4 linked regions of the Drosophila melanogaster genome follow. The gene in region 3 interacts genetically with the main gene of each other region. Each region holds a gene or a part of one and is shown on either strand. Other genes may lie near its edges.

Region 1 (5,039 bases), on a different chromosome or scaffold from region 3:
TGGATAATGCATAAATATTTAGCGGCGCTTTCGGAAGGCAGGCACGTAGTGGCCATGATTGTTATTATCAATTGTTTATACTCGTATGCTTATGTAATTACTAGAGAAAAAATTCTATTGTCGTTTCGGAAATCCGACGCTGAAAAAAGTGTCAAAGCAACACGAACGTTCACTTTTCGCTGTTTTCGCGACAAGCGAAAGTTGAGCACAGAATCCCATTTCGTGTGTTTCACATTGTTATGATAAAACGTGGCCACTTTTGGTGCCCACACAACAAGGCCGTTAGAATTGGAGGCATTTTTTTTTTTGGAAAATGGAGCTCCAAATATCCAAGAAATACGCTGACCTGTAAACCAGTTTTCTGGAAAGAGAACGAACCCCAATGAAATGTTTGATGATTCACAGCGCTCCTCTCTCTATCGCCTTCTATGCCTGCTGTATGTTTGCTGGATTGGGGCATCTTTTCAGATAAGGCTATCGAGAAGTGACTAATCGCTGGCAAACAAACAAATGCGCTGGGAGTTCGAACAGATATGCGTAACATACATATCTCCAATGCGAGATAATCGTGTATTTCTATTTATCCCCCGCATCAATGGAGCCCAGAACTATGGGCTATTAAACGAACTATGACTATCAGTGCGGATTGTTTACCCATTGATAAGACCGTGCAGCTGGACAGAGGGCTCATCTACGGCGTAGAAGCCCCTCTAATGGACGGGAGCAGCGCACACACTTGACCTTCGGGCGGCGATAAAGAAGCCTCTTCGGCGAGTCATTGACACCATCAATCAGCAGCAGCGGCAGCAGCAGCAACAAATGCTGCAAATGCAGCGGCGGCATATGGAAAAGAGGCGCAAAAAAAAGAGGCACAAAAAGGGAGAAAACCTGCCACGGGCCTGGGTTCCTGCTGTGACTAACCTACGACAAGGTAGACACACAGCAACGAAAATCAGCTTACATCGCGCCCTGGCAACAAGAAACCGGAAAATTCGCCAGCCAAAACAAAGGGTTTGGCCTAGGACAGCCAGCCAGCCAGCCATCGAGCCAGTGAGCCAACACAAACACAAACACCTGGAAGGAAGCAAGGCGGCGAAAAAGATCGAATCGCAGCCTGCCAGCAGCCTTTTTCTTGGCCAGAAAAGCCAGCGAATACAAGCAACACGGGTAAGCATCGGATGTCCCCCACAAAGTTCCGCAAAGTCAAAGGGGGCATCGAATATATCATCACTACAAACTGTTGGAATTGTTTTTCTAAGCATTCGGAAGAAAACGAATAAGGAAAGTTGAAATAGTATATATACTATAGGAATGCTAACAATAAATAAGTTCATTCAAGGAAACACAGTGAAAAATGCTAGATTTGCAAAGTATAGTATATAGATTAAATCATATATGCATGTTTATAGCTTTAGAAACCCCCTCCTCACATCATTTTTTAAACTTACTTTGTAATGCTAATCACAACTATATGCAGATTAAATGGGGTCAAAAATATGGTCTTGATAGATTTGAAGTGCAGTTGAGAAATGAAAAAATGTAGAGTAGAATGTACAATATTTCAGTATGTGATGCTTCACAAGGATTTTGTACTGATAGTGGAATATATTTGACTGAATCTTTTCGTTCTAGTAAGAGTATTCGGGCTGCGGTGGCTAATGAGTCGTAATCCTTTCGTGTTGCCTTCTGCGAATGCACCTTTTGAAACTCTTTAGCCAGCTTTTGCGACTGCTGTCTGTTTGGTCGCGATTTAGTAACAAAATCTGTCTGGGGATTGAACCTAGGATGTGGGTTAAGGCAACGACCTGGACGGCGGCAGCTGCATCGCAGCGGATTATGCATGCAGGACCTGCCACGTCCCCCTGTGCACCCCCTTACACCCTTGCGTGCCCCCATTCAGTGTGAAGTCTATGAATAAATGCAGATATTATGATTTGAGGTGGGAATTGATGATTTTGGAACAGCACTCACCTTTAGAATCTGAGTTTTGCGAAAACTCAGCTCGTCGTCAGCCGTCGCAGAGAAATCGTGTTTGGCAATCGCTTCCATTTTGCTGTGTTGTTTTGTGCGCAGTTAGAAAACGCTTTCGGAGTTTGTTTTAAAATTTAGTTGCAATTGTAGTTTTGGATTTAGTTCTATCAGCCTTGATGCACCACACACACGCACACACAGAGGCACAGACACACACGCTCGTTCTCTGCTCTTTCTCTCTAACTCTCTTTGAATTTCTCTCTCACTCACTACTCAGTGCTGTGGAAATGAAAACGAAACGAGACGAATCCGCGATTAGTTAGCGCACATTATATAAACGATAAATCATGGATATTCGGCAGTGCGCTTTTCTCAGTTCGGTTAATAATAATATATCTTGTGCGAAGGCAAGGGAAGAAAGCGATTAAAAATACACCGACGACGACGACATTCCCAGGCGGAGCAGCAACAGAGAATGAACACAGACACGAGCCGCTCTCTCCACGGCGGCCACTGTGTGGGTGTGTGTGCGTGAGCGTGGCAGCGTTGCCAGCAGCTTGCGATTTGGAATTTCGGGGAAAAGCAGGTACCGCAAAAGCAATTAGACGATGTTTGGCTATTACTTGTTGTTATGCGAAGTAATTTGCCTTAAATAATATGAAATGTGTCGCTTAGAACACAATTAACATTTGGCAATCTAGGGCGTGGGTGCTTGCTGTTGGCAATGCTGCCGCGGTGACGTTGTTGTTTGTTTTATTTTTTGTAACCCCAATAAACACACACACACACACACACGCGGCGCTTATATTTCTATATGCGTAAGTTGCGGCTAACTATTTTCGAGTCTCTGGCACGTGCAAAGAGGCCGCCGGGCTTACAATTTCAAAGGGCTAGGGTGGCTGCAAGCTTAAGCGACACTAATTAGGCGCGGGAGCGGTTTGGCTAACATATTACTACTGCTAAATTTGTAATTCACTTTTATTTTCATAGCAGCGTGACCGTGGCCGGGTCGCTTTATTATTCCAAGAAAATATACTGAACACAACACTGTGGGAGAGGCATACCGCAGGGCTTTCGTAGTTTTCCTTCACCTGGTCACACCGCAAGACGCTTCGCCATTTTAAAAATCAAAACAGGAGACGCTTCGCCGGAAAAGTCAGCATTACGTTTCATTCCCAACCGGACACTTCAGTTTGACTCGCCCATCCGTCACAGCAGTCGCCATGCAGCGCCACAAGGAACTGTACAAGGAGCAATCGCTGGTGCTGAGTCCGCGCAATCACTGCCAGGAGAACAGGGATCGGTTGCAGGCGGCGCGCGCCAAAAAACGAGAGGATTGTTTTTATCAGAACCGCATCATCAGCGTGAGCCCGACGCCCGTCAAAATAAAGCAATTGGCGGCGGCCCAAGCTGCTCTGACCCAGGAAAATGTGGCACCCAAACTGGAGAGTCCGGAGCGGCTGGACACGAAGCCCGCAGAACTGCTGAAGGAATCCAACCCGAAGGTCTCCCGCCAGAAGCTCTACTTACAACGCTACATGGAGTGGAAGATAGCCAAGACCAAGGAGCATAAGCAGCAAGACCAGAAACGTCGAGGCGCAGCCATCAATGTGCCGACAGTAAAACAATCAAAGGCCTTGCCCAAATCACAAACATTTCGGGTTCCCGATAATCTGGCTTCTGCAAAGCAGAAGGAGGCGGCTCCCATGTTCCAGCCTCCCAAGCGGTGTTCTCTCTACATGATTGCCAATCCGACGGGCAAGGGAAAAGCCGCAGAACCGATTAAACCTTCAATACCCAAGCCAACGTCAGCAGCAGCTCCTCCGTCATCCAATACCGTGGCTGCATCTTCCGCCTTGGCCAGGCATAAATCAGCTGCTTCTGCAACAAAAATAGTGCCTGCAATTCGTCAGAACAACAATCCAGTGGCCTTGGCCAGGCAAAAAGCAGCTGCACGACCCATTCCCAACACAACGAAGCAAACTACCAGTGTAAGGCAGCCTGGGATTGAAGCGAAAAAGATCACTACCACCATACCCAGACCCACCCCAGCGACAGTCACGAAAGCGAAAACGCCAGGCATACGACAACAGCCACCAGTGGTCAGCACAAAGCCAAGATTACCTGAGCCGCCAGCGCCACGGACAGCTAGACTGCCCAATGTGTTGTCCAAGCCGTTCGAGAAACCTTTAGGAAACAAGGCACCAGTGACACGACGGGCGAATGTCGTGAAACCACAGCCTATACGTGGCGGAGGTGGTGCCGCGGCCAAGTTCAAGGACACAGCTGGAGCGACCAGCAAGGCAGCAAGTCACTCCATACGAATGAAGGCCACCAAGATAAAGAGCCAGTACACGAGGCTTCAGGACAACGTGCGAAAGCTTCCTCAGCTCAAAGCCGAGTTGCTGCACGCAGCCACGCTAGATATACCGCCTCTCACGCCGCTAGACGATATCCATAATCCCTTTATCGACCAGGCCACATCAACGCAGTGCAAGTCGAACAATAGCAGCGGTCATCTTTTGGAGGCGTTTGGCGACACCATCTTGTTGAGCCCGGTGGCACCGGTCAAAGCTGAAGGAGAAAGTTCGGTGAAAAGGCAGTTGCTGCCGGAAGGTAAGAAAGAGGCGTCAGGTCCGGTGGCAAAGAAAAAGTTCGACTTTACGCGTTACTCAGTGGCGAATTCGCCGGCGGAGGACTCGCTCATCTTGGATCCTCAGCAGACGACGGGTGAGTTTGGGATACGCCTTCTCCAATCTTAAACTCAAACTCACATTTTCCTTTCAGTTAAAGAAGACACTGGAGATTCCACTTTGGTGCCAGAGGGTACAAAGACACCGCCACGTCGCGAATCCAATGGAATGCCCAACTATCTCAGTCCGTTTGTTAGTGTCTCGCGGGGAAAGGTGAACTCGCGCTGTGAGAAGGAGAAACGCAATAGCTTCTACCTGTCCAATGAGGAATCGCCCTTGGAAGTTCGCCGTGCCATTGAATCGGTTCTGTACTTCCGACTGCAGCTGGAAAACGAGATCACGCGCCTCCAAGCGCTTTGCGCTGAATGGGAGGCG
Region 2 (4,780 bases), on a different chromosome or scaffold from region 3:
TGATTTTTTGCCAGCGAGTGTAGCGTTTTGAACTATAAAGACGTCAACAACAATTGCCAGTTGTTCGAGTTTCCTACCCCCAACGATTTTTTTAACGGTTTCGATTCGAATGCACGTGCAGGCTTTTCTCTAGCATTTATTTGCATACATGCCGCAGCTGTGCTTATTTTTATGGTCATAAAGAAAACAGCGAAACAGTAAGCCAGAGCAAATAACTCGAACAATTTCTGCGAAAAGGGCATTGTGACAGCAGCGATCGTCTGTGCGAAAAAAAAGGGTAATATCGCTTTTTAAGGTTCTGGCATCTTTATCGGTTTCATAACTCGCTTATCTAGCCATACATACATACATACATACCACATCCACATATCCGGCTATGCGGTGGTGGTCTCCCGTCTCCCATTAGCATAGACTGCGTAGCCAAAGTTTTCGTTTTCCTATCAATATTTGCACAGTTGCTGGCGCACAATGCGCACATTCAGTTATTAATTTGCAGCTACAAGATCACTGAGTACTTGGTATCGACGGCCCGCTTTTATTCGCCTCCCATTTAATTTTTACTTTTCTGTTTGCCCGCCGAATACAAACATTTGCCTCAAAGTACTGTGCAAACAGACACCGCCAGATACGCCATGGAGTTCATTAAATTGTGGCCAAATGGTTACCCAAACATACAGCCAGCCAGCCAAGCAGCCAAAACTTCCAATATGCGAATACCAAATTTTGTGTATTAATTTATTTTCCAACGGGTAAGAAACAAAGAGCCCACAAAGAAAACCTCGAGAACTGCAGAGTCAACAAATTGAGTCGCCATTTTAGCTGGAAATTGTGTCGCTAGTTGCAGTTGCCCTATTGCTCTTACTGTTGCTTTTGCTGTTGCAATTGCAATTGCTGCTGATGCACAGAAAAGGGCACGCAGACGGCGGGAAAAGTGGCAGAGTGGAAAAATCGGGCGGTCTTAACACTAACTAACTACTACGCTTTACCTTGTACATTTGACATTACGAAATGCACAGCACAGTGCTCAGTGCTTGGCTAATCAGTGCGTTCTGGTATTCTGGTATGTTTGCCGTGATATCTGATGGCTAGGTGTGGGGGTAACTCGAAACAGGGGCGATAGTGCACACAAGACTCTTTGACTAAGCCAGCGCCAAGTCAAGAGGTGAGCCACAGGGCAGGTGAGACCGTCGCGAAGGGCAGGTATTAAATGGAGGGAGCATTCACTCTGGACTAGGGGATACCCTGGCGTATACGTGATATTGGGAAATATCATTCAAAGTCCATATTCCAGACACATAAATGTTAAGTAAGCTTATATTACTTAAAATACTACGAATTCACACACTATTGCAAGTGTTTTTTAATCTATGAGCTTAGTAAAATATTTGTAATATTGCACACTTTGCAGCTACCCCTCGATAATTGATATTCCCAGGGTAACGATAAGACCAAATAATACGAAATGCAGCCGAAAACGAAGCTATATTTAAAGTGCAGTACAGGGGAAAAATAAAAAAAAAACATCACAGCGATAAGATAAACGACAGCATATCGCTGGCACGAAACTACAATAAAAAAAAAAACACCTGAAAACGGTGGAAACTCTAGAGACCAACTGATACGGTGGCCAAATTCGGGACGACTTGGCTCTTTTGATATATGGGCAGCCAGTCAGTCAGCCAGATGATCTACATAAACACATTTTGATAGATGATGGGCGGCTTGAGGAAGATGGATAGATCCTTGCGGTGCACTTACTTTTCCCCTTGACGAACTCGTTCTTGTTCTTATCCTCCAGACTGGTGGGAATGGTGACTCCGTTGGCTCCCAGTCCCAGGGCGAAGTTGGCCCCGCCCCTCTGTCGATTTTGGGCCGAACTGCTGCGGTATAGGAATCGATCTCGATCCCGATCGCGATCTATATCCTGATGGCGCTGGCGATTGTTCTGGCGGGCGTAGCGATCGCGGGCCGCCGACGCGGGCCAAATGCAAATGCAGTGGGCCAGGAGCAGGAGCAGCAGGGGGAAGGGGCAGGGGCCGTTGCGCCGTCGCAGCAGCATTGTTGCGGGGCGGTGGGTGGTTTGGTGGTTGGTGCTTTTTGTGGGCGTTACTGGTGGGATGAATCAAGCCCTCTTCCAAGCTATAACCCCTGACGTCATAGGGGTTATTTTTTATTCGTTTCTTTTTCTTGAACTTGCGGTTTACTTTCGGCTTTTTGCTCACTCAGCTTTGCGTGCCAAAAATACAGCTTTTCATAAATTTGATTTCGACTCTTTCACTGCGTTTGCTGCGGTTGCTGTTGTTGTTGTTGTTGTTTTGAATTTAAGCTGTTGTCGTTGCAATTTGCCACTGTATTGGTGTTTACATTTCACTGTGTATGCGCGTGAGAGTGAGTGTGTGTTTTCGAGTGGGTCTTTTGAACGCGCCAGTGAGTGAGTGTGTGCGTGAGTGTAGGAACCAGTTTCACATTACGAGCCACAAGAGTCGTCCGAAGGCTTTCATATATATATATATATATATATGAGTGTATGTAAAAAATAAAATTTTTGTTATTTTTCAGATGTATTTTTCAGCTTCTTTTTTGAGTTCGCCAACGATTTTTGAGGTTAGAGAGGCGTGCGCAGGCGCAGCTCTTAGCTTTCAGCTTTAATTGATTGCCCTAAGCAATTGTTGTGTTGCCCCCGCAGCGGTTAACTTGCACAAAACACACACACTTGGCCATCATTCGAACTGAGCCACAACCGCCACAGCCGCGGCTGCCAATTAGCAGGGTATTCACAAAAATACGCTTAGTAGTATAGTATAGGCCAAAGGCACTTGGCTTACACCCCGTTTTTGGCTTTGGTTTTGGTCGTTTTGCGAACTGTGATTTCTCGGTACTTCGATTAGCACGATCTTCGAATTAGCAAACGCTGCGATCGAGAGCACAGATATGGCCGAGGATTCGAGCTCAAGACGTCCGTACTGAGCGATTCGCGTCCGCGCAGCAACAAGTTGTATTCGAGACTGAGGCCAAAGCCGCAGCCAAAAGGCGCTGCTCCCTCTCTGTCTCTCTCTCTCACTCTCTCGCCGTGTTTCTTACTCTCGATTGCGGCGAAAAGAGCGCGCACAGGTAAAAATAAAGGTGAACGGCGAAATCTCGAGCTCAGATCAGGTCAAAATAAAAGCAAAGCCAGCGATACAGCAACAACTACGGCACAGCTGCGCACCGCTGTCGCCACCTCTCGCTCGCTCAGTGCAGCGTTCCCACTCGCACCGCCAGCGGACCATCTCCATCCACAATCCACAGGTAATCGTAAACGTAGCAGCAGCATTTTAAAAAGTCAGCGTAATACGAAACGATACGGCCAGATACATTGGGCAATCTTCCCCCAGACCAGCAAATGCTCTACATATCATGGGAAAATGCTAAACGTTGGCCCTAATGCACAGAATCGAATTTAGCGCCATCTCAAATGAACGGAAACACCAACTAGAGATCTTAAGTTCGCAGAACATAACTTCAACTAACAATCTTAACATAGAGTACATGGCTCAGAGCGGTTAAGTATCCCAAGCTTGAAGAGTGGATACCAAAGAAGGACAATCTTTTTGCACAAAATATGTTGCTCGATATACAGGGCGTGTATAAATAATATACACACGGGATTTATGTTAAAAAAGTTAAGAAGCATTTATACGCAACAACCTCAGTTTTAAGATAGCAAAGTTTAGGTAGGATTAAGAAGGCGCCATAAATAGCCTTTTCAACTGCAGAGACGAGTTTTCCAACAAAGGAAAGTACTTGAGCAACAATGTCCTGATTTTCCCCTCCCCCCAAAATGCCCAATAGCAAAGACAAGAGCAAAAAAACCAATGCGGGGATTATCCGACAGCATCTTAACTCCGACAGCTGTGCAGGGCATTTAAGATTCGCATCGATTGCAGGTCGTTCCCAGGTAAGATCTTGTGTATATCCCAATTTCTTGACACTGCTGCTGTTGTTGTTGTTGTTGTTGGAGGTTCTGTTGTTGCGGCGAATTTGAGAGCGTTCAGGTAAAGCGATCGCCGCTCTCTCACCTGGCTGTATATACATGGGTATGTGTGGGCAATGCTGCCATATAAGCACAAAAGATCTCGGCAATTGTATCTGTATCTGTGTGTGTTTGTGTGTGTAACTGTGCCCGCATCTGCATCTGTGTCTGTGAGCCGAGCCTGCGTGGGCCATGGATTGTCTTTTGGCAAAAAGATTTTTGTACGAGCGTTGTCAACATTGTTAGGGCAGATCCAAGACCGAGATCTCGTTGGCCTCTTCTTCACCTGTTCCCAGCCCACAAGAAATCGGGGTTTTTACGCCTGCGCCATGTGCTCTGCGGGATCGGGCCAAAAGGACACTGTTTCGGCAGGTAAATCCGAAGCGTTTTGACCTTTTTCACTTTGCCATAACAGAAATACAAAAGGTGCACTTGGAAAAGCGCAACTAACTCCTCGGTCCACATTTGAATCTCGAATCCCACGCTGTGACTCTCGAGAGGCGTTGCATTGTCTTGCTCGGCGCTTTGTTTCAGAGCATGAAAATACATTTAAATTGAAAAGCATTTCCACAGATTTCCACGATGGGGTAAAAGCGCCATGCTCCGGTCTGCAGCCATAATCAAACATATTAATAGCCGTCTGTCCCAAGCCAGAAGACCTCAATCAAAAGGTACACTGCCCAAACCGTACGGAATCATCTGTCAAAATCGAAGAGCATGCAACTGACAGCCGAACATCGAGTTGAGAACGATCTTAGAACTCAGAAC
Region 3 (4,820 bases):
TTTGCATGCAAAATGTGCACAATACGTCAATCAGAAGGTGAATTTCCGGGGTTGTCCCTTTTTTTTTCGAAAAAAATGCGAAAATCTGATTTTCACGTGACAGTCTGTGAAATAGGTATGTAGCACCTAGTCCGCCGGCGAATCCATTGAGAATCGCTCGGGTTGATAAGCCGCATCTTCCGTCAAGTGTGTGTAATAAGTTTGCCGTCTAATCAATTCCAGAATATTTCAAACGATTAGTACGAATTCGATGATCCCAGGCGGGAGATTGGATTTCCACAGATTATTCGGGCCAAGAAATTGTGCGCACGAGTGCAGTTTGGATGTCTGCGGCACATCCTTTCCGTTGGCCAAAAAATCCATAAGCGAAAGGGATACTTGGACTTGATGGCGGAACCGGAAACGGAAGCTGTCACGCAAGCCTTTCACTCGCCGCTCAATTTTTCATCCCGCAGTGTCAGTTGTATGAGTCACGAGTCATGTGTAACCGGAAAATTGCCTACTCTTGTGTGCTTCAAATGCTCGGAAAATGCTTTAAAATATTGCATATTTCTTAGCTTGCGAGTTTTTGATTCTACAGAGTAAAAAAAAAATACCTAAATGTTTGTGTAAATCAATGAAATTAATAGCTTAACTTGTTTTCTTCATATTTCTCGGTTAAAAAGTTATGGAAATATGATATTTTGTAGTTTGATAGAAAATTTTTAATGAAATTTCTATGACTTTCCACATCTCGTTTACTTTTCATGGAAATACACTTCTATTCACCCCAATTGATGACTTTATTTTCTGATTGTGTGGGCTAGTTCCCTATTGAATTCAATTATTTTCAAGCGTTTACTGCTGCTTGCGATCAATTAGTTTAATAATCAATTTAGGTGTGCTGTTAATGCTTAGCTAAATGTAAAGAGTGAGTCAGCTAAACGATTTAAACAAATTTTCTGCCACGTTTATTTGTTGGCGAAAAAGCGCGTTGATTTGCGCTATTCATGTGACGATGTTTAGAGTAAATTGAGTTGTATTTTAAATTATTTCTGTTAACATTTGTAAACGAATAAAGTTTTTTTCCATTGCAAGAAGTTGAAATTTAACCCTCTTTGGATGTAAGCTTTTCAATATATTTAGTCTTAATAAGTCTAGCTCAAAAATAAGTACTATAATTTAATAATTATATACATTTTACATAGCCTCGGCCCATTACCTTAATTTTAATGATACAAAGATGTTACTATGTAAGTCGGAAGCTTATTAAAAACCGAAAATCATCAAATCAACTAGATGCACAATGTTAAGATCATGTTTTTATTAAGATTATATTTTAGATAGATACTCTTGAGGTGGCATTGGTTTCTTGAGATGGAAAATACATCTATCTATCTATGTATCTATAAGAACTTAAATATCTGGCGGCCTGCTTGCGATCTGCGATCAACCGATTGAGTTGAGCTTTGACCCATGGAAAGAGGAGCGCGGTGGGCTATCTACCCATGATATCCAGTTTAGGGGTTGCCCTGCCAATGACGTCATAGTTGCTGCGTCAACGAAAAAGAAGATCAATGGTCATTTAAGATCGGTTCGGTTCAGTTCGGTTCGGTTGCGGTGCGCTTCGTCACTCATCGTTCATCGCATCGTATGGTATCGTATGGTATCGTATGGTATCGTATCGCATCGCATCGCTTCGGTTCGGTTTCAGTTCCGTGCTCAAGTTCTCCAGCTGGGGGGTTGGACTTGGACTTGGAGCTTGGGGCTTGGTTAAAAAGCCGCCGCTCGCCGGCAAATCAGTTCTGCTGCGATCGCGCCACTGCGCACTACGTAACGCTTCGGGAATCGCACATCCAGATCCAGATTCAGATCCACATCCAGATATCTGTGACATTTTGTCGAGTGAGTTGCGTTCTCAAAGATACAAGATACATCCGTGCGCGTATGTGTGTGTTTGCATGAATTTCGGCTCTTTTAATACCCTTTTTTTTTCGCGTGCACTAAGTGTTCCTATGTGTGTGTGTGTGGAGTTGCTTTTCAGTTGGGGCCGCAACTGCAACAATAAAATGCAATTAAGCCGCTCAAATCAACAATAAATTGAATTAAAGCGCGTGAACAGCGCTTAACAACTTCAACAGCGGCGATTCGAGCGAAATGTGGGTGAGAGTTTAAGGCTCCATCGGTTTTGACTTTCTGATTGTACAAATATGTATATATATATACTATAGCATACATACCTTCGACTAATTAATGCAAAACGCTGGCCGGCAGCTTTTGCATAATATTCTCTGAATAACTTTAATGCAATTAATCCCGCTGTGATCTTTCGTGTTTTCACTATTTCGCGCGGTTTATTCAATTTGAATTTCAATTTATTTTCGGTTTTTCTGTTTCATTTTGTTTATACATATATATATTTGTTCGGTCTAGTCTGCTCATCGGGCGATTTAATTAACATTTTCCGTGCTGCTGTGCTGTTGTTGTTGCTGGTAAATATGAAATTAAAGTGCAATTAACTATTATATATACATATATATATATATACATATATATATGTATATCTATGGTTTTGCTGAACTTGCGGACAAAAGGGATTTCCGTTTTTGAAAGTGCGACTCCGCTCGATTATTCTCCGTCCGTCGAATGTGTTTGCATCTTAATGAGGATAAATTTGTTATGGCCACTTCCCGTTCGCTATTGTTGTTGTTGTTGTTGTTGTTGTTGTTGTTTTTGCTGTGGTCGGTCGAAGGGGGCGTGACTTATTGGCCATGCATTACGCCATGTTAATTGAAACTTGTCGCTTGGCTAGCTGATTATGCAGACGCCATATTAATTGGACCATGGACCATGAGAGCATGGACCATCCATGTCCTCTAATCGAAATCCCGGCGACATTTGGATGAGTTGGGCGGTGGAAGCTGGCCAAACCAGTTACGGAGATCATTGGGATTTTGGCTTATCGATCCGGACTTAGATTGTGTGTGTGTGTGTTTGTGTTTACCCTGTTTATCTCGCCGGCAATGTGCGTTGAACCTTTGAGCTGCATCTGAAATAAGTAGAATGCAATGTAGTTAAGCTTTTTCTTGGGGTATATTCACTTGCCTACTTATTTTTATTAATTATTTTCCAAATATATCAAATATATATCAAATATATCAAATATATTATATACATCAAATTTTCAAATATGCAAATATCATTTAATGCTATTGGTACAGCTATTAATCAACTATACATGTAAATTGTTTATGCTTGTTACACTAAATTGAGTAATAATCCGGAAAACTCATGATAATTGACGGTTTGACAAAAATGATAGTAATATAGCATTTTGCAAGGGCAGAACTGCCACTTTGTAAATACAGTGATTGGAGTATCTATTAATTAGACAAAACTTGGCTTGCTGATATACTGCAAATATTTGTAAATTACTAGGTTCGGGCCTTTTAGCAGCTTTTTTTATGCCTTTAAATTGCAACTGCAATGAATTGAAGTACAAGAAATAAGTCATTCTGTTTAATGGAAAGTTAACGAGACTCATTTCTCAAATTCGCTAAATAAATTATATAAAAATGTATTCATATATTTTAACATTATATGACATAATGTTGAGTAAAGGGTATCCGTAAAATATCACTTGCATTTAATTTTTTGTAACTGCCTCGTTTGCTGCTTCTCGAATTTGCATAAAATGGAAATTAGTTTGTGTACTTAAAATTTCCAATTGAATTGGTTTTTTGACTCTGCTATTTGAAATCTGATTTTTATTTGTGCGTTGTTCAAATTCACCCCTCTCTTTCTATTTCTCTTTTGATTTACACTGCGGTGGTCACTGTGTTGTGTGTTTCAGTTTCGTTTTCAGTCAAATGCGGCACTAAAATGTTAATTCAGCCAAAGCAAACAACGATTATCGAGTGAAATAGGAATCGAACGCCACAAATCGCGAACTCGGGGTGAAGATCGAGTGCCTCGATGACTATGTTTTGGCAACAAAATGTAGACCACCAGTCGGATGAGCAGGACAAACAGGCGAAGGGTGCGGCGCCCACAAAGAGATTGAACATCAGCTTCAATGTGAAGATCGCGGTGAATGTGAATACCAAGATGACCACCACCCACATCAATCAGCAGGCACCTGGCACCTCCTCCTCCTCGTCGAACTCCCAGAATGCCTCACCCAGCAAGATTGTGGTCCGCCAGCAGAGCAGCTCCTTCGATCTACGTCAGCAATTGGCTCGCTTAGGCCGCCAATTGGCCAGTGGCCAGGATGGCCATGGCGGCATATCCACCATACTGATCATCAATCTTCTCCTGCTCATTCTACTCTCGATCTGCTGCGATGTCTGCCGATCGCACAACTATACGGTGCACCAGAGTCCCGAACCCGTCTCCAAAGACCAAATGCGCCTGCTGCGTCCCAAGCTGGACAGCGATGTGGTCGAGAAGGTGGCCATCTGGCACAAGCACGCCGCCGCAGCTCCGCCAAGCATTGTCGAGGGCATCGCCATCAGCAGCAGGCCACAGTCAACGATGGCCCATCATCCAGATGATCGAGATCGGGATCGTGATCCTTCGGAGGAACAGCATGGCGTCGACGAGCGAATGGTCCTGGAACGCGTGACCAGGGATTGTGTGCAGCGCTGCATTGTTGAGGTGAGTTCTAGATTTCTAACATTACCTAAGTTTTATATTGTATTTACATACATTGTGATAATGCACATTTCGTGATGGTGTCAAAAGAGCATAAAACATGCATAAAACATGCATAAAACATGACTTTCCCCAGGGCAAAGCAAAGAAAAAAAAGGGTAAAGCGACATTCGGGTGCGAAATGTTTA
Region 4 (7,861 bases), on a different chromosome or scaffold from region 3:
GCAATGGGATCGAGAAGCAGTACCGCTACAAGGTGAGTAGCTGACTTCCACTCCTTACCCGTCATTAGTTCACCTAATGTTTTCCTTTAACCTTCAGTGCCGAAGCTGCAGTCTGCCGCTTTACTATCGCCACAGTCCCGACTCCCACGTAACCTTCGTCATGTCCAATGCCCTAATCCGCAACAAGGGTGAGAGTCCTCTCACACAGCTGCTGAATTCGGAGATCAAGGGCAGTTTCAAGGCACCGGCTGCCAAGCCAGCGACTTCCGCCGGTCCAGACGATTCGGGTATTGTGGATGCCAGTGGCAAGAAGGTCGTCGTCACCAGACACACGAAGAACATGGGCAAGTTCAGCTCGGTCACGGTGTCTACCATCGACGAGGAGGAGGATGAAATCGAGGCGGTAAGTTTGTCAGCTAAAGTTGGTTTGTAAATGGTGCAGGAAATCCAATCTATCATTGCATCATCTACGAACAAACCTACAACTCTTTCAAACTAACCATTTTTTTTGTTCATTCAAACAGCGCGAGATCGCAGACAGCTATGCGAACAACGCAAGGATTATCGAGAAGCAACTGCAGCGCAAAGGCGGAAAATTGAGCGATGTGGGCATCAAAACCAAGACAGAGGACGCACCTCCGCCGCAGAAGAAGCAGCGCGGCACGCTACTGGAAAGATAGTCACACTCTGCCTCCTTATTACCCACAACTAAATATATTTGACGACACAAATGGCTGGCATTCTTGGAAGAAAAATTGCAATTTATCTAGTTATAGCATACGCAAATAGTTTGACCTTCTATGCTGTCGTTTTGGCAGCAAACTGGGATGCTGTGCCAGTAGCTTCTTCAGTCGCTGCTCGGCGTGCTGGTGATTGAGAATCGAGTCCTTGACAAGCCCACAACTGGGACATAGATTGTACTCCGACTTTGACTTTTTGACGATCGCTGGACGCACGCGAGTCTCCATGATCAGCTTCATTCGATTCGTGGTACGCGGCGAGTTGTGCAGAGCAGTGAGTGGACGGCACTTACTTCTTGGCGAGGATTCGGTCCGTTCCAAAGCAGCCTTCTCCTTGCTCCTGACCAGCTCGAGTGCACGATTCGCTCGGGCTTTGGCCAGCTGCAATTCGAGAGGCGCCTTTGGCAGGTTAAAAAAGAAGTGGGTCCACTTATCGCGCAACTGTTCGATGGCCTCCGAGTTGAATAGTGAGCTGGAACGATTGGAGGTATGGGGTCCCCATTCCGCGTTCCCGATGCAACTCAATCTATAAGCGGACATTGAAACCTGAAGTATTATACACTGAAAATTTGACAACAAAGTAAAAGTGTACATATATGTGTATATGTATACTATATACCGTATAGTTATGGTTTTTGGATGGATTGTTTTTCAAATATATAATTATACGAGGGTATAGAAGCTTCGACTTCTGGAAGCTAGCTCCCTAACTGTTTTTGGTTTTTGTATTCTGTTGCATTGCATTGCTTTCATATGTTTAATTGTTTCAACTGAACACATTGTACTTGTTTTCGATTTAGAAGCGTTGAAAGCGGATGTATCTTACATTATCCAAGTAAAATAAGGGATGAGTCGATATGTATGTTGCATATCTCCTTACGATTTTAGATAAGGAAAGACATTTTATAAATATAAATATAAATTTCTTGAAATATAAACATTGAAGAGATAATTAAATTCATTTTTTTTGGGTAAATTATAATATATTTTAAACCTGCTCGTTGCAATTTAAATTCAAAATGCTTCTTCTTCTGCTAAAAAAGCCATTCAACACGAATGCTCTCTACATTGGATTTTTTAGTACATTCTTAAGCATCGAATCAGGGCTGGTCGCGAGCATTTACTGGATTTAGGCAGTGCCGCACTCTGGTCACACCGCGAAAAATATTATATTGAGTTGAAGATTATATTATACATATATATATCGAAGATACATATTCTGAAAACAAGTGCTGAAGCCCAAGCGATTTGCAAACGAAACGGACGCGCGAGCCCCGTTCAAGATTCGAAACGAGTTCAGTGCGTGCGCTTGAGTGTGTGTGACTGCCATGCGACGTTCGCCCGGGTGATCCGGCTGTGCCAGGTGCCCCACGGTTCCAGGTTTCCAGTTTCCAGGTTCCGCTCCACTCCACTCGTCGCTGGATTCAGTGCACAACACAGCGGGCGGGGAGGCGGAGGGCAGGCGGCCAACGAAGGTGCTCCACGGCAGGCTCTCGTCGGCTACTCCACGGCGCACAGAATGTTCTCGGGGCCCAGCGGCCATGCCCACACCATTAGCTACGGGGGCGGGATCGGTCTGGGCACTGGAGGCGGCGGCGGCAGCGGTGGTAGTGGTAGTGGCTCACAGGGCGGAGGCGGTGGTATTGGCATTGGCGGCGGTGGCGTGGCTGGGCTGCAGGATTGCGATGGCTATGACTTCACCAAGTGCGAGAATGCTGCGAGATGGAGGGGCTTGTTTACGCCATCGCTAAAGAAGGTGCTGGAGCAAGTGCATCCACGGGTTACCGCCAAGGAGGACGCACTGCTGTATGTGGAGAAACTCTGTCTGCGGCTTCTGGCCATGCTGTGCGCCAAGCCGCTGCCCCATTCCGTGCAGGATGTGGAGGAGAAGGTGAACAAGTCCTTTCCAGCGCCCATCGATCAGTGGGCCCTGAACGAGGCCAAGGAGGTGATCAACTCGAAGAAACGCAAGTCTGTCCTGCCCACGGAAAAGGTGCACACGCTGCTCCAGAAGGATGTGTTGCAGTACAAGATCGATAGCTCCGTGTCCGCCTTCCTGGTGGCCGTGCTCGAGTACATCTCAGCGGACATACTCAAAATGGCCGGCGACTATGTGATCAAGATCGCCCACTGCGAGATCACCAAGGAGGACATCGAGGTGGTGATGAACGCCGATCGTGTGCTAATGGACATGCTCAACCAGAGCGAAGCCCACATCCTGCCCAGTCCCCTGTCACTTCCCGCGCAGCGTGCAAGTGCCACCTACGAGGAGACGGTCAAGGAGCTGATCCACGACGAGAAGCAGTACCAACGCGACCTGCACATGATCATACGCGTCTTTCGTGAGGAGCTGGTGAAGATCGTGTCCGATCCGCGCGAGCTGGAACCGATATTCTCCAACATAATGGACATTTACGAGGTGACGGTCACTCTGCTCGGCTCCCTGGAGGACGTCATCGAGATGTCCCAGGAGCAGAGTGCCCCCTGCGTCGGTAGCTGCTTTGAGGAACTGGCCGAGGCCGAGGAGTTCGATGTGTACAAGAAGTACGCCTACGACGTTACCTCGCAGGCCTCACGGGATGCTCTCAACAATCTCCTGTCTAAGCCAGGGGTAAGTATTGATACCTTCTGTGCGAAGAATTCTACTAAAATCCCTGCTTTTAGGCCTCATCTCTGACCACAGCCGGCCATGGCTTCCGCGATGCGGTCAAATACTATTTGCCCAAGCTGCTTCTGGTGCCCATTTGCCATGCCTTCGTGTATTTCGACTACATCAAGCATCTCAAGGATCTCAGCTCTTCGCAGGACGACATCGAGAGCTTCGAACAGGTACAGGGACTGTTGCATCCACTCCACTGCGATCTCGAAAAGGTAATGGCCAGCCTGTCCAAGGAGCGACAAGTTCCGGTTAGCGGTCGAGTGCGCCGCCAGCTGGCAATCGAGCGGACACGGGAGCTCCAAATGAAGGTGGAGCACTGGGAGGACAAGGACGTGGGCCAGAATTGCAATGAATTTATTCGCGGTAAGTGCTGGCAACGAAAGTTACTTGCATCCTCCAACTAAAATGGTATTTCAAATTTACAGAGGATTCGCTGAGCAAACTTGGATCGGGAAAACGAATCTGGAGCGAGCGCAAGGTATTCCTCTTCGACGGGCTAATGGTGCTATGCAAGGCAAACACCAAGAAACAAACACCATCGGCAGGAGCAACGGCCTACGACTACCGACTGAAGGAGAAGTATTTCATGCGACGCGTGGATATCAACGATCGACCGGACAGCGATGATCTGAAGAACAGTTTTGAGTTGGCACCCCGGATGCAGCCGCCCATTGTGCTGACCGCCAAGAATGCACAGCACAAGCACGACTGGATGGCAGACCTGCTGATGGTTATCACCAAGTCGATGCTGGACCGGCACTTGGACAGCATATTGCAAGACATCGAGCGAAAGCATCCGCTGCGGATGCCCAGTCCGGAGATTTACAAGTTCGCGGTGCCGGACAGCGGTGACAATATCGTGTTGGAGGAGCGCGAAAGCGCAGGAGTGCCGATGATCAAGGGAGCGACGCTTTGCAAGCTAATCGAGCGCCTCACCTATCACATCTACGCCGATCCGACTTTTGTGCGCACCTTCCTCACCACATATCGCTACTTCTGCTCGCCGCAGCAATTGCTGCAACTGCTGGTGGAACGCTTTAACATACCGGATCCCAGCCTGGTCTATCAAGACACGGGCACAGCAGGTGCGGGTGGAATGGGCGGCGTTGGCGGTGACAAGGAGCACAAGAACTCGCATCGCGAGGACTGGAAACGATATCGCAAGGAGTACGTGCAGCCAGTGCAGTTTCGAGTGCTCAACGTACTGCGCCATTGGGTCGACCATCATTTTTACGATTTCGAGAAGGATCCCATGTTGCTGGAGAAGCTGCTGAACTTTCTGGAGCACGTGAATGGCAAATCGATGCGCAAGTGGGTGGATTCCGTGCTTAAGATTGTTCAGAGAAAGGTGAGTAGTTGGTCAACAGCATAATGTGGAAGTATCGTTATCATTTTTCAAATATTATTTACAGAACGAGCAGGAGAAAAGCAATAAAAAGATTGTATACGCCTATGGCCACGATCCGCCGCCCATTGAGCATCACCTTAGTGTACCCAACGACGAGATAACGCTCCTCACCCTGCACCCACTGGAACTGGCCCGTCAGCTCACTCTACTGGAATTCGAGATGTACAAGAATGTAAAGCCGTCTGAGTTGGTCGGATCACCCTGGACGAAAAAGGACAAGGAGGTGAAGAGCCCTAATCTACTGAAGATAATGAAGCACACCACGAACGTCACCCGCTGGATTGAAAAATCCATCACCGAAGCGGAGAACTACGAGGAACGCCTGGCTATTATGCAACGCGCAATCGAAGTGATGATGGTGATGCTGGAATTGAACAATTTTAATGGAATCCTCTCGATTGTCGCGGCTATGGGCACGGCATCTGTTTATCGACTGCGGTGGACATTCCAGGGATTGCCCGAACGCTACAGAAAATTCTTGGAGGAATGCCGCGAGCTCAGCGACGATCATCTCAAAAAGTATCAGGAGCGATTGCGATCCATCAATCCGCCTTGTGTGCCATTTTTCGGTCGCTACTTGACCAACATACTCCACTTGGAGGAGGGTAACCCCGACCTGCTAGCCAACACAGAGCTAATTAACTTTTCCAAACGACGGAAAGTGGCCGAGATTATTGGCGAGATTCAACAGTACCAGAACCAGCCATACTGCCTCAACGAGGAGTCCACAATACGACAGTTCTTCGAGCAACTGGATCCGTTTAACGGACTGTCCGACAAACAGATGTCCGACTATCTCTATAACGAAAGCCTGCGCATTGAGCCAAGGGGCTGCAAGACAGTGCCGAAATTCGTAAGTATAATGCTTCAAAGTTTACAAGTCATATAGGAAATTTAACCATTTTCCTTTCGTAGCCTCGAAAATGGCCGCACATTCCGCTCAAATCGCCGGGCATCAAGCCGCGTCGCCAGAATCAGACCAACAGCAGTAGCAAGCTGTCGAACAGCACGTCGTCCGTGGCGGCGGCAGCGGCAGCATCGTCAACGGCCACCTCAATAGCTACGGCATCGGCGCCATCTTTGCACGCCTCCAGCATAATGGATGCGCCAACAGCAGCAGCAGCTAATGCTGGATCTGGAACTCTCGCTGGCGAGCAAAGTCCGCAGCACAATCCGCACGCTTTCTCCGTTTTCGCCCCTGTTATTATACCCGAACGGAACACCAGCAGCTGGAGTGGAACGCCACAGCACACTCGAACGGACCAGAACAACGGGGAGGTTTCGGTGCCGGCGCCACATCTCCCCAAGAAACCGGGCGCGCATGTCTGGGCTAACAACAACTCGACACTGGCCAGTGCGTCGGCAATGGATGTTGTGTTCAGTCCAGCGCTGCCGGAGCATCTGCCACCGCAGTCCCTGCCGGACAGCAATCCATTCGCATCGGACACGGAAGCTCCACCGTCGCCGCTGCCCAAGCTAGTGGTCAGTCCGCGTCACGAAACCGGCAATCGATCACCATTCCATGGGCGCATGCAGAACAGCCCAACGCATAGCACTGCCAGTACCGTGACCCTTACAGGCATGTCTACATCGGGCGGGGAGGAATTCTGCGCGGGTGGATTCTACTTTAACAGTGCCCATCAGGGACAGCCGGGGGCAGTGCCCATCTCGCCGCATGTCAACGTTCCGATGGCCACCAATATGGAGTACCGAGCAGTGCCGCCTCCACTGCCACCCAGACGCAAGGAGCGCACTGAGAGCTGTGCGGACATGGCGCAAAAGCGTCAGGCGCCAGACGCACCCACAGTAAGTAGCCTCACTTACTTCTAATTTGTAGTAGCAGATGACAGCAATCATTTTACGTATCCTTGCAGTTACCCCCGCGTGATGGCGAACTCAGTCCGCCGCCGATACCGCCACGGCTCAACCATTCCACGGGCATCAGCTACTTGCGACAAAGCCACGGCAAGAGCAAGGAGTTTGTGGGCAACAGCAGTCTGCTCCTGCCCAACACCAGCAGTATTATGATACGCCGCAACTCGGCGATCGAGAAGCGGGCAGCGGCAACTAGCCAGCCAAACCAGGCGGCGGCGGGACCCATCAGCACGACACTAGTGACCGTGTCGCAGGCAGTGGCGACGGACGAACCGCTGCCGCTACCGATCTCGCCAGCGGCAAGCTCCTCGACGACCACATCACCGCTGACACCCGCCATGTCGCCCATGTCTCCCAACATTCCCAGCCATCCGGTGGAGAGCACGTCGAGCAGCTATGCCCACCAACTGCGAATGCGGCAGCAGCAGCAGCAGCAGACGCATCCAGCGATCTACTCGCAGCACCATCAACATCATGCCACCCATCTGCCGCACCATCCGCACCAGCACCATTCGAATCCGACGCAGTCGCGCTCGTCCCCCAAGGAGTTCTTTCCGATTGCCACGAGCCTCGAGGGCACACCCAAACTTCCACCAAAACCTAGTCTAAGCGCTAACTTCTATAACAATCCAGGTGAGTGCTACCAACTCGGCCCGTGATAACGTGTTTCCTAACCCAACCATCCTATCCGTTTGCAGATAAAGGTACGATGTTTCTTTACCCAAGTACAAACGAAGAATAATTTAAATTGCCTGGCGATGTGATAAGGACGAAAACTACGAGTATGATCCGTAAGATTCAAAGTTGCGAGCACTGCTTGAGTGCAGATATATATATGAGAGAACGGAACGTGAGATATATATATATATATATACATATATACGTAGGCGCAGTTTATGTATTCTAGTATGAAACGAGTTGGAACCGCTGATTTAGATTATTCGCCACTCATTTAACAAGGTAGAACAGACAGACAGACAAAATACGCTCTCATTTACACACAACAGGCACGCGCATATGGATAGGAATGCAGGACACACAAACCAAGCAAGCAACCAAGCAACCAACAAGAAATGCAAACAAGAAATTATGTTATTATATAATTACTATTATAAATATTTGTAAATATCGAGAACATTGTATTGATCGTAGAACGTAAAACAATAAAGTATAACCCTA

The links.
Region 1: of sev (region 3) and drk, changing one enhances a phenotype caused by changing the other (phenotypic enhancement), as found in Drosophila melanogaster (3 studies listed by BioGRID).
Region 2: of sev (region 3) and Egfr, changing one suppresses a phenotype caused by changing the other (phenotypic suppression), as found in Drosophila melanogaster (2 studies listed by BioGRID).
Region 4: of sev (region 3) and Sos, changing one suppresses a phenotype caused by changing the other (phenotypic suppression), as found in Drosophila melanogaster (4 studies listed by BioGRID).

The regions. Positions count from the first base shown.
Region 1 is NT_033778.4:13,499,842-13,504,880, forward strand, and holds the start of drk (downstream of receptor kinase), read right to left. Parts: upstream 3,001-5,039; 5' UTR 2,850-3,000; exon of another isoform or gene 2,084-2,849; 5' UTR 2,050-2,083; coding exon 1,972-2,049; exon of another isoform or gene 1,633-1,971; intron 1,168-1,632; exon of another isoform or gene 780-1,167; intron 1-779. Other genes in the region: mars, read left to right, coding at 3,195-4,701, 4,759-5,039.
Region 2 is NT_033778.4:21,544,870-21,549,649, reverse strand, and holds the start of Egfr (epidermal growth factor receptor), read right to left. Parts: upstream 3,008-4,780; 5' UTR 2,060-3,007; coding exon 1,759-2,059; intron 1-1,758. UniProt on the Drosophila melanogaster protein: Receptor tyrosine kinase, binding ligands of the EGF family and activating several signaling cascades to convert extracellular cues into appropriate cellular responses. Known ligands include spitz, gurken, vein and giant-lens.
Region 3 is NC_004354.4:11,083,260-11,088,079, reverse strand, and holds the start of sev (sevenless), read left to right. Parts: upstream 1-1,780; 5' UTR 1,781-1,884; intron 1,885-3,832; 5' UTR 3,833-3,954; coding exon 3,955-4,635; intron 4,636-4,820. UniProt on the Drosophila melanogaster protein: Receptor for an extracellular signal required to instruct a cell to differentiate into an R7 photoreceptor. The ligand for sev is the boss (bride of sevenless) protein on the surface of the neighboring R8 cell.
Region 4 is NT_033779.5:13,811,955-13,819,815, forward strand, and holds the start of Sos (Son of sevenless), read left to right. Parts: upstream 1-1,861; 5' UTR 1,862-2,259; coding exon 2,260-3,351; intron 3,352-3,404; coding exon 3,405-3,762; intron 3,763-3,824; coding exon 3,825-4,747; intron 4,748-4,811; coding exon 4,812-5,660; intron 5,661-5,722; coding exon 5,723-6,613; intron 6,614-6,681; coding exon 6,682-7,315; intron 7,316-7,380; coding exon 7,381-7,424; 3' UTR 7,425-7,861. Other genes in the region: CG16865 (uncharacterized protein), read left to right, coding at 1-32, 98-403, 525-680; CG16888 (uncharacterized protein), read right to left, coding at 771-1,280. UniProt on the Drosophila melanogaster protein: Promotes the exchange of Ras-bound GDP by GTP. Functions in signaling pathways initiated by the sevenless and epidermal growth factor receptor tyrosine kinases; implies a role for the ras pathway in neuronal development.